3 linked regions of the Canis lupus familiaris genome follow. The protein of the gene in region 1 interacts with the protein of each later gene in a biochemical or structural test. Links are inferred from orthologs where the notes say so. Each region holds a gene or a part of one and is shown in the gene's direction. Other genes may lie near its edges. The genes, in order: TLN1, RET and ITGB1.

The links.
Region 2: the proteins of TLN1 (region 1) and RET interact in a surface display test, tested with the Homo sapiens proteins (2 studies listed by BioGRID and IntAct, with this or other methods). The link is inferred for Canis lupus familiaris from reciprocal best matches to the Homo sapiens genes TLN1 and RET.
Region 3: the proteins of TLN1 (region 1) and ITGB1 form a complex in vitro, tested with the Homo sapiens proteins (3 studies listed by BioGRID and IntAct, with this or other methods). The link is inferred for Canis lupus familiaris from reciprocal best matches to the Homo sapiens genes TLN1 and ITGB1.

What each region holds. Positions count from the first base shown.
Region 1 is NC_049232.1:52,545,264-52,548,910, reverse strand, and holds part of TLN1 (talin-1), read left to right. Parts: coding exon 1-13; exon of another isoform or gene 14-248; coding exon 249-346; exon of another isoform or gene 347-489; intron 490-622; coding exon 623-752; intron 753-858; coding exon 859-1,011; intron 1,012-1,276; coding exon 1,277-1,419; intron 1,420-1,524; coding exon 1,525-1,652; intron 1,653-2,382; coding exon 2,383-2,443; intron 2,444-3,078; coding exon 3,079-3,183; intron 3,184-3,549; coding exon 3,550-3,647. UniProt on the Homo sapiens protein: High molecular weight cytoskeletal protein concentrated at regions of cell-matrix and cell-cell contacts. Involved in connections of major cytoskeletal structures to the plasma membrane.
Region 2 is NC_049249.1:4,128,564-4,132,800, reverse strand, and holds the start of RET (proto-oncogene tyrosine-protein kinase receptor Ret), read left to right. Parts: upstream 1-1,400; coding exon 1,401-1,449; intron 1,450-4,237. UniProt on the Homo sapiens protein: Receptor tyrosine-protein kinase involved in numerous cellular mechanisms including cell proliferation, neuronal navigation, cell migration, and cell differentiation in response to glia cell line-derived growth family factors (GDNF, NRTN, ARTN, PSPN and GDF15).
Region 3 is NC_049223.1:3,966,551-3,970,197, forward strand, and holds part of ITGB1 (integrin beta-1), read left to right. Parts: intron 1-229; coding exon 230-385; intron 386-1,375; coding exon 1,376-1,471; intron 1,472-2,217; coding exon 2,218-2,307; intron 2,308-3,647.

The sequences.
Region 1 (3,647 bases):
CTGGCTGGCCCTCGTAAGTCTGAGTACCCCGGTGGCAGGTGGGGGAAAGTCCCTTGTTCCCAGGCTCTTGGCTTTAAGGGATGACCCCGTTGTCCCTCAAGGCTACACATCCCTCAGGCCTGTGCTCCATGGTTCCCTCTCTCCCCTTTAGGCCCTCAGGCCCTGGGGAAATAGTAAGGGGCAACAGAGCAGCTGTTCAGCCACACTGGGGTCCTCGTGAGTCTGAGGGAATCCAACCTCTCTTTCAGCCAGCGACTTTGGGCTATTCCTGTCAGATGATGACCCCAAAAAAGGTATATGGCTGGAGGCCGGGAAAGCTTTGGATTACTACATGCTCCGCAATGGGGTGAGTATCACTTCAGCAAGGGCCGCCAACATTCTCTTCCATCAGCATCCCTGACTTCACCTCCTGTTTTCAGTACCTATACCTGTTGTCTCTGACCCTCTCCAGGCTTTTTATCACAGGCAATCAAATTACCCTGCTTTTGAGTGAGCCACCACAGTCTTGCTTTTAGTCACCTACCTTCCCACCCCCCCCCCCCCCCCCCCCGTCTGGCTGTGGAAAAAGGAAGTAGTACCTCCAGCTTCAAGTGGGCCCCTCCTCCTATTCCTGCCCCAACAGGACACCATGGAGTACAGGAAGAAACAGAGGCCCCTGAAAATCCGTATGCTCGATGGAACTGTGAAGACTATCATGGTGGATGACTCTAAGACTGTCACCGACATGCTCATGACCATCTGTGCCCGCATTGGTAAGGGGTCTCGGTGGGGCAGAGGGCTCAGGAATGGAGGCTTCAGCTCTACCAAAAAACAAGTATGCCATGCCCAGGATGCAACCAATCCCTCGCCCTCCCCCAGGCATCACCAACCATGATGAATATTCCCTGGTTCGAGAGCTGATGGAAGAGAAAAAGGAGGAGGTAACAGGAACCTTACGAAAAGATAAGACACTGCTGCGAGATGAAAAGAAGATGGAGAAACTAAAGCAGAAGTTGCACACAGATGATGAGTGTAAGCAGAAAGAGAAAAAAGAGGGCCCTGGAAATGGTTGGGGGAAAGGGGTGGGGGTGGGGGCAACTGTTGATTGGTTAGTTATTGAATACCTGCTTTTGCAAGACACTGTTTTAGACACAGGATGCATCAGTAATAAAGTCCTACACTCAGAACTTATTGGTAAGAGAAGGTAGGAGATAAAGAACAAACAAACAAAAAGCCAGAGACCAGACACCACAGGCACCCTAGGGGCTTGGCACTGAGGGGACTCTGTGTGTCCCAGTGAACTGGCTGGACCATGGCCGCACGCTGAGGGAACAGGGGGTGGAGGAGCATGAGACACTTCTGCTGCGGAGGAAGTTCTTCTACTCAGACCAGAATGTGGACTCCCGGGACCCTGTACAGCTGAACCTCCTTTATGTGCAGGTGTGGAGAGGATTTGCCTGGGCTAAGGGAGGTAGGGAGGGGGGCAGAGGCACTGCGAGGGCATCCCACACCCACACACAACACTTGCTGCCATGTGTCCTCCAGGCACGAGATGACATCCTCAATGGCTCCCACCCTGTCTCCTTCGACAAGGCCTGTGAGTTTGCTGGCTTCCAATGCCAGATCCAGTTTGGGCCCCACAATGAGCAGAAGCACAAGGCTGGCTTCCTTGAGTGAGTGACCTGCATCCCACACCCTGTTAGGGCCCAGGACTTACTGCCGTTGCAACCTCAACAGTCCTGCCCACCCCCACCCCCACCAGGCCTTCTCTCTCTGTTTCCTCTTCCGATGCACCCAGGGTTTGACCCACATGGGTACCGTTTTTGCTGCCGTCAGCTATATACCTCCTCACTGGTCCCATGTGGAGTATGAATGTAGTCCAGAATCTCTGCCTCTACCCCGTACCTCTCAAGCAAGCATGGAACTTTTTTGAGCTTCTCTGAAGAATTTCACTGCAGTAGCCACAGGAAAACAGTACATTTCTCCTCCCAGGGAACACAGACTTAGAAAGCTTCACAAGTCTCATCCACTGATACTCCTCAGAATGTGTAGAGTTCAGCGTGGCTTGCTTAGCTTTCTATGTGCATGGTCATTCTCCTACTGAGCTCCTTCTCCTCCTGGTTTCCTGTGGTAGTGCTCTAGACCCTCTTTCCCTCAGGGACAGCCTACAACTCAGGTTCCCTCAGTCCCTTCCCCTGTAGGGAGAGACACAGGCTGCAGTCAAGAGCTAATGCTAGATCATCTTGATTTCACGGATAATCCAGACTCTGTTCCCTCGAGCCTTCCTTCTCCCCAAAGATAACACTGTCCTAGACATTTCCTCATGCCCCCAGGCCCACAGTCCATGGCCTACATATCCCTGATGCTGTCCACTCCGTGCTGACCCTCCCTTTTCTGGTGTAGCCTGAAGGACTTCCTGCCCAAGGAGTATGTGAAGCAGAAGGGAGAGCGTAAGATCTTCCAGGTGAATGGGGGTAGGGGAAAGTGTTTGGGATGCTTTGGGAGCTTTGCTACTTAATCCTACTGACTGAATGGACCCCTGCCCCTTCCTTATCTCCTTCCACCCCGCTTCCACCCATCAAACTCTTCTCCCACCTCTCCTGTGCCAAGAAAGCAGAAGACCTGGGCTTTTCGTTTCAGCTCCATCACTGCATTTGCTGTGGAATTCAATTCAGTGTTCTTGTTTTCTTTTCTTTGCCTCTAACTCGGGATGACAGTGCCTGCCCTGGGTGGGATTGATAGGAGAATCAAATGAGACAGTATGCCTGAAGTTACTGTGAAAAGTATATCTTTGTACAAATGTAAAGTGTTATCCCCACTTCTTGAGTACTCAGCCCAAAAAGCCTTCTATTTGACCTTCTACTTATCTGTTCATGTCTCCAGAACATCTGCAAGTTGTTTAACTATATTCCTTGAAGTGTCACTTCTGTGTATCCTCTGTCCACCCCCATCCTGTCACCCTCTCATTTCTCATACCCTGCACCCTCTAACCTTTCCTGTGTCTCCCACAGTACGTTCCCATTGTGGTTAACGTCGCAACTTGTCTGTGACACCATCCCCCCATGTTTTGCTAAACGTTTTTCCCCATTTCCCACTCAGGCACACAAGAACTGTGGGCAGATGAGTGAGATCGAGGCCAAGGTTCGCTACGTGAAGCTAGCCCGTTCCCTCAAGACCTATGGTGTCTCCTTCTTTCTGGTGAAGGTGGGTGACAGACCCTTCTCAGTCTGTCCGCCTTATTCCCATTCTTCCCCTTTCCCCTCAAAGTCTGGCCCTGCCCTTGGTCACATTTTCCATCATCCCTATGAGTCCCATTCTCCGTGGAAACGTGTGGGGTTGTCAGCCCTCTCTACTGCTCACTTGGCTGCTGCCCCTGTGCCCTTGCTTCTCCCTAGAGGAGTTTGTGGCTCCCTGCAGACACCACCCCCACCTCAGCGCCCCCACCCCCCCAACCCCTGTTTGGCTCTCCCACAATCCTTAGCACCCCCTGGTGGTCTAGATAGGATCTGCTCATTCACTCCTTGTCTGATATCTCTGGCCACCATACCAAAGACAGCCTCTGCCTCACAGGAAAAGATGAAAGGAAAGAACAAGCTGGTGCCTAGACTTCTGGGCATCACTAAGGAGTGTGTGATGCGGGTGGACGAGAAGACCAAAGAGGTGATCCA
Region 2 (4,237 bases), on another chromosome or scaffold:
AAATCTTGCTGTGTTGACCTACCCAAAGGGCCAGAGAGGCAGTTCTCAGCAGAGGCAGGTCTGAGCCCACAGGCCAGGCAGCCCTTCCTGGCAGAAAGGGCCAGCAGCAAGCCTCCTGGTGGGCTGACTGACTCCAGTGTCTGATGCCCACTGCCACTTTGTTAGCCATTGTACCAAACCCCGAGATTCTTACCTCCCAGCCACAGTGTTCCAAACTGTGAAATGGGGTAGTAAAGGGATCTACACACAGCAGCTGTGAATCTGAAGTATGAGTTCTGTGGAGTACATACCTATGCAAAGGTGAGGCCTGCTTGTACCTGCCCTGTCTGCTCCTCTCCCAGCATGCCCTTCTCTGATTTGCAGCTGGAGAAACTGAGACACAGTGGAGGCTGGCACACTGTGAAAATGAACACCAGTGGCCCATCCCAGGCTCTCCTCATCCACTTGCCAGGAGTGGCTGCATCATTCATGGGGCCCAGTGTAGAATGAAGATCCAGACCCTTTGTTCTAGAATTGTGACGAATTTCAAAACAGTGACATCAGGGCATTAATCCCTTTGGGCCTGCCCAGGCTGTGCCCACCTGAAGCCGGCCCTGCACCCTCCTCCTCAGTTTCCTGCCTTGGACCATGTGTTTTTCCATCTAGAAGTGTCTGTGACATACCGGAGCATTAAGGGAGCTATACCCAGCTACAGGGACCACCTGGGAGGTATTTTAAGTGCATGTAAGTCTGTTTCTGCTCACAATCATTGCCCGACCCACAAACCCCTTTTGGCAGCAATCGCCTGGGCCCCACATGGATCCTGTAGGGCTGGGCTCTGTGAGAGAGAGCAAGCAGGGCCCATTCTCTCCTGGACATGTGGTCTGCATGGGTGGAACTGTACCAGCTCGGGGGTGGGGAGCTCTGGGAGCTGGGATCTCCTGCCTCCTAGCCCCTGTACCACTGTACAGTCAAAGAGGCTCCCCCAGAAGGGAGCCCTGTTCTGGGGCTGCTCCTATCTACCCAGCAGGGTAGGACACTCTGGGTAGAGTATCCCCCTGACCAGACCTGACTGCTGTCCTCCAGCCCCCAGGTGTCACCAGAGCCACCTGAGAAACCCTCCCCACAGTGGCTCCAAGAACAGCCAAGTTTTACTCAGTTCTATTCTGCTGACCAGGGCCAGGAATGTGTGTCCTGAGAGAAGGTGCTGGCAGAGACTGTGTTGCCTCCTCAAGATGTAAGCTCTGTGGATATGCAGAGTCCCCTCGCTGGTCCTCTGGGGGCAAGAGCACAGACCTCACCTCTCTCCCTGGACCAGTCAGGCACACTAAGACACAGGCTCTGGAAGACACAGGCTGCCTGGTCTATGTCCAGTCTTATGGACTGGTAGCACTCCTTGCAGCGCTGAGAATTGAGGCACAATGGCAGCATCTCGGATCATTAAGGGTTGGTTCGTGCCCTTCTGCCAGGGTAGGGGCAGCATTTGTCTGGGCTGACCTCCCTCCTTACCTGGTATTGACCTAGTATTGGTGTCACAAGTCCAGGCTGCCCCTGGCCACCACCCCGTAAGACCACTGGGAGTCAGTCTTTCCTCCTTTTTGTGCCCAGAAATGCCAAGCTGCCCAGAGAGTTGGTGGGTCATTAGGACTGTCTTCCCCTCGAGTTGATATTCTTGACTTGCAGTAAGGCTTAATCACCGCTCAAGGCTTTATAGGGGAGTAAAGCCTGTCCCAGCAGGCAGGGCTACCTCAGTGGGGGCCCAGGCATGGTCAGCTGGGGATCAAGAGCATGGCCGCTGTGGGGGCCCAGGGAGCTGAGTGCGCTGGTGAAGGATGTGCCTCTTTGAAAAGACTGCATTACAAATTCCAGTTCTCTTGCTGTCTTATGTGCATACCCTTGAGCAAATAAACTTTCTTTCTGCCTCATTGTCTGTGTTTGCGAAGCAGTGGTCCTGACACTGTCTGTCTGGAGCTGTGGAGAGATGGAAGGTCAACATGTATGCATGGAGGATTAGCCTTGTCCTGTGTTGCCTCCCAGAGCCATCCAACCAGGTTGTGCTCAGCCTACACTCCACCTTTGAGAGGCAGCAGCAGCCTGCAGGGGGCCAGCATCTTCAGAAGGTTGTGGGGGGAAGAGAGTCATTCTTTCTGTCCGTGGGGCAGTGAATATCACCTTCCCTAACACCCCCTGCCCCAGCCCTCACTTTGAGCTCCTGCTGGATGCTCTGACTTGTGGAACCTTCATGGAATGTTGGATGGCAAGGAAGCCTAGCTGGCTGCTGCTCATGATCCAGTCCCCTGTTGTGGAGCAGCAGTGCTGTGCGTGGCTCTGATTCCCCTTCTGAACCTGCCTTCCAGGACTTGGCCATGCTGGAATGCTGCCATGGGTTGGGAGCCCCTATAATATCAGAGAGACTGGATGGCCCCGCTGAGGAGCACAAGCCAGGAGTCACCCTGCTAGGCAGCACAGAGCAGGCTCTGGCACACTCCTGGTGGGAAGTGGCTGCCAAGCCCCATCTGGGACTCCTCTACCACTGTCCCCTCCCTGTGGGTGGCTCCTCACACACAGGGAGCATTTCTGTCTTTGTCTGAGCCATGACTTGATGAGTCAGTAGGGTCCCCTTTAGGGCTCCACTCTGTGAGGTGTGTGAATGCCTCTCATGGGACATGCAAGCCTCTGGGAAGGATCCTACCTGTGCAGGGACCCTCCAAGGACCTATCAGCCATGGCCCATCACTCAGCTCAGCCTTGTGCTCGTGTCTTCAGCTGCCCTTCAGCAGGAGCAGCAAGAAGCCAGCAGCCATTACAGCTCTCTGAGCTGCCCTCCTGTCCCTGTTATCTGTCAGCCACTGAATCCCAAGGAGGTCAGCCCTGAGTGCATCTGAGAACCTGTGTCCTCTTGGCCAGTGGGGAGGATGTGGGGAGATTCAGGTGGCATTCAAGCTAGCTCCTGCCCATAGTGTCTGCTGGTGAGACCCCAGGGTGGGGGAAGCATGGTCTCAGCACTCCCTCCCCAGTGTGACTTCATGGCGCTCCATAAGTTGCCTCCCCCTTGAATGGCAGCCAATGTGACACTTTGGAGTAGATCCTCCCCCCAAGAAACCTTAGCTCAGAGCACAGGGCAGGCTCCTTGGAGGGCCTCTCTGAACTGCACCCACAGGGACCAAGTAATTCTAGGTCCCACTCCAAGAAGACCTCTCCTAGAGAAGGGCTTTCCAAAGGTCTGAAAGGCCACTCTATGAATGTTGTCGTGCCTCCACCCCACTTCTCTCCATCTCTGTGGTTAGTGTGGGGTTAGTGCCTTTGGCTCTGGCCAGAGCATCTATCTCCCTTCTCTCCCTTTCTCCCTCTCTTCTCTCTCTCCTTCTTTTCCTCGCTTCCTTCTCCCTCTCTCCCTCTCCCTCTTGCTCCTTCCCAGTCCAGGCCTGTCTGGCAGGGAGCAGGTGGGGCCAAATGCACGCTTCCCCCCAAGTTGGTACTCGCAGCCTTGGCTGCCTTTTGAAGTCATCCTGGAAAACATTCCACAGTGCAGGCAGCCTTCCTGTTTGCTTATTGTTTTATCATGTCTGGGGACCTGGAAAGGGCTTACCTGGTGTCTTCACCTGATTCCACTTGGCACTTGATTCCCCATACCCAAATGTGTCCTTGGGGACCCAAGCGGTGCTGGGAGTGTCCTCTGTTGGTGCAAACTGGCCTGGCTGCTAACCCCAACAGCTATGAGAAGAGTGGGGTCTAGGTAGAAACAAGTTTATTGAAAAGATAAATTGGCTACACGAGAGCAAATCCACAAGTAGTTCTAATGTTTGCATTGTGTATTGGGTACTTTCTATGCATTATAGAGTATTTGCAGGGTTTTAGTGGTTTTCAAGCATTGTTCGTCTATTTATCCTAATTGGAAATTCTATTTTTAAAAACCTTTTAATATGAGAAATGTTGAACTTACACAAAGTCAGCAGAGTAGTGAGGTCCTACATGAGCTAACCCAGCAAGGCCATGGTCAACATCCTCTCCCTTGAGGCAACCATGGCTCTCTCTACCCACAGTCCCTTGGTGATCGGGTTTTTAGGGAAAATGTACCTGAGTTGAAATGCACAACTCTTAGCTGTACATTGTCAGCTAAGACCCACACTGCTATCAGGACGTGGGACCTACATTCCCCAGAATGTTCCTTCCTGCCCTTTCCAGCCCTTTGCCTCCTCCCACCCCTAAAAGGTAGACAGTCTACTTTCTGTTACCTAAAATTAGTTAGAATCATGCCA
Region 3 (3,647 bases), on another chromosome or scaffold:
ACAACTAAGCAAGACAGTTTTTTTCCTCAGGGGTGGAGGAGCCTCATGCAGTGGGCTCTGCATATGCTCTCTGCTCTGTATCAGCAGCAATATTAGCACTGTAAAAAGAGAAGCTAAGAAGAAAGTATAGAATGAGGTTAAAAGTACAATGGGAGCCTATGTGAGGATTATAGCTTTATGTACAGTGATGTGGATAGCATTTATAAATTGAAATCTTTTTCTTTTCAAGTCATTGATTGGCTGGAGGAATGTCACACGGCTGCTGGTGTTTTCCACAGACGCTGGATTTCACTTTGCTGGAGATGGCAAACTTGGTGGCATTGTTTTACCAAATGATGGACAGTGTCACCTGGAAAATGATGTGTACACAATGAGCCATTATTATGTGAGTGTTGAATTCCTTACATATTGAATGGATTCCTGTGGAATTTTGGTGTTTAATACTAAAAGTATTGTGGGTAGGGATCTCCGGGTGGCTCAGCGGTTTAGCGCCTGCTTTTAGCCCAGGGCGCGATCCTGGGGTCCTGGGATTGAGTCCCGCATCAGGCTCCTTGCATGGAGCCTGCTTCTCCCTCTACCTGTGTCTCTGTCTCTCTCTCTCTCTCTCTCTCTATGTCTATCATGAATAAATAAATAAAATCTTAAAAAAAAAAAAAAAGTATTGTGGGTGACTGGCTTACAAGTTTTACAAGGTTTGAGGGTTTGTTATTTTGGTAAGTACAACCCCTAACCTAACATGCAAGGAAGCTAGTATTGCTATGTCTGAAGATGTGTTTTGTGTTTGCTTTCTGCTGCATAGACAAGGGCCTCAGTCGGTGAAAGGAGCTGCTTGAACACTCTTATTCTGTTTCTCAGCACATCGCTGTGTTTCTTGTCTTTGCACACATCATTTGATAGCAAATTTGACATTTCTAAACAGATAATTTGTAAAGGCCTATACTCTTCATCTTATTTATATAAGATTTTTGAAAGTAGGTACTCTCCTTTTATTGAAAACAAAGACTGGCAAATTATTCAAGTTCTACAAGAAATCTAAACCTTAGTGAATTTTGGTGATTTATGATACAACCTGTAGTTACTGGCAGTTCTTTACTTTCATTTTTCTAACACTTACTATACATAGATCTTGCTTTTTAAAACCTTTTTATTGTGGAAGTTTCTATACATACAGAAGATACACACCCACATGTATATGGAAGATAGAAGATTACACACCCACATGTACACACCTCCCACCTCAGCAATTATTTGTGTTATTTCAGGCAGTTTTGTGTAAGTAATCCAGTTATATATGCAAATTATTATTTTCAAAAAGTATGGAAAAACTGGAATACATTGGAGGTAATTACTTACTAAATTTTATTTAATTTCTTAGGATTATCCTTCTATTGCTCACCTTGTCCAGAAACTAAGTGAAAATAACATTCAGACAATTTTTGCAGTTACAGAAGAATTTCAGCCCGTTTACAAGGTAAGTATGTATGTATGGGATAAAAAGAGGAACTAGTGGGCATCTGGGTGGCTCAGTGGTTGAGTGTCTGCCTTTGGCTCAGGGTATGATCCCAGAGTCCTGATATGGAGTCCTGCATTTGGCTCCCAGGAGGAAGCTTCTCCCTTTGCCTATGTCTCTGCCTCTTTCTCTGTCTCTCTCATAAATAAATGAATTAAGGGATCCCTGGGTGGCTCAGCGGTTTGGTGCCTGCCTTTGGCCCAGGGTGCAATCCTGGAGTCCCGGGATCGAGTCCCACGTTGGGCTCCTGGCATGGAGCCTGCTTCTCCTTCCTCCTGTATCTCTGCCTCTCTCTCTCTCTCTCTCTCTCTCTCTCGGTCTATCATAAATAAGTAAATAAATCTTTAAAAATAAATAAATAAATAAATAAATAAATAAATAAATAAATAAATAAATAAATAAATAAATAAATAAAACCAGCTTCTAGACCCTTCATGTCTAGTCTTTAGGCAAAATCATATGTCTGAATTGAAATATAGGAAAGTGTTAGTAACCAGACTGACTGGATTTTACAGTAGTGGTTTATATTAATTTTTAATCACAAATAAAACTAGTTTTATTATATTTGACTCCTTAAGTTATTTAGGAAATGGCTAGGATGCTCATACTTAAGTTTGTGTGTTTTTTTTTTTTTTTCATGCTCAGTAAATGCTAATTGGTTGAATCAATAATATTTGTACCTTACATGTTTTATATTTTAATTTCAGGAACTGAAAAATTTGATCCCTAAGTCAGCAGTAGGAACATTATCTGCAAATTCTAGCAACGTAATTCAGTTGATTATTGATGCCTACAACGTAAGTATATTCTAAATAAGATCTCTTTTAGACAATACCCTCTTGAGAATAATTTACCAAAGAAAGTAAAACTCCTTTCATTTACAATTTAGTAAGCTCAGAGGACAAAGTAAAGGAACATTTTACGTATCTGGAAGAAAACATTTTATATTCTATAAAAACCAAATTATTTATAATCTGAGCAGAGCAAAAATACGATAATTGGGGTGGGGAAGGTTTCTAAATGTCTTGTTTGATGTCATTAAAAAGGTTTTCTTGTTGGAAAACAATTCACTTGTTTGAGGATATAAACAATAACTTATAACAATATGTAAGGTATATACTGGATATATACAAGGATATAAACAATAACTTATAAACATAACTTATATTTAAATGTATAAGATTACCTCAATCTGCCCACCGCATTATTTTTTATAGATTCATCTTTTTTGCTGAATTATTCTGGAAAAGCTTTTTTGTCAAGTCTTTTCTTGTTATGTATTCAGAGATATAGTTTTCTATTCTCAAGAGATACACATGCCATAAAATACGTACATATGTAAATATATTTGACTTACCTGTTTTAAAAAGATGTGTAAAATTTTTTTCCCCCACACATGGAAGGAAGTTGAGTTGTCTAGAGCTCTAATTCTGAGTATGTTTAGTGATGCTTGTTAAGCATTGGTGAATAACCATTTTAAGTAGTCAGAAGACATCGGTAACCATTGTGTGTCTACCCCTCACCCTTTTGACAGGTTGAATTTTAGATAATTTTTACCTCATGCCCGGGTTTCCCAAAATGTTTCGGAAAAACCCTACTCACAGAGACAGAGAGGTTGTTTTTTTTTTCTTTTTTTCTTTTTAAAAGATTTTATTTATTTATTCATGAGAGACACACACAGAGAGAGGCAGAGACATAGGCAGAGAGAGAAGCAGGCTCCATGAAGGGAGCCCGATGTGGGACTCGATCCCGGGATTCCAGAATCACGCCCGGGCCAAAGGCAGGCGCTCAACCGCTGAGCAACCCAGGCGTTCCGAGAGGTTTTTTATTACAAAGATTTTTAAGACTCCAGTTGTTCTCTGTCTTCCCTATAGTTGTTCTCTATCTTAATAGAGTATTGCATATTTTCCTAACTCGCATGTAGATATGTGACTAAGAGACAGCTTGCTGCTGACCCTTCTCCATTTTTCCTGAGTGATCTGATAATTCTAAAAAAACACACTGGTTTGAGTCATTCATACTCAGGGTTTTGGGTTTGTTTGTGTTTTGTTTTTGTTTTTTGTTCTGTTTTTGTTTTTGTTTTTGTTTTTGTTTTTTGGCCCAGTCTGTAATGGCTCCTAAGCAGATTTGTTCCCAG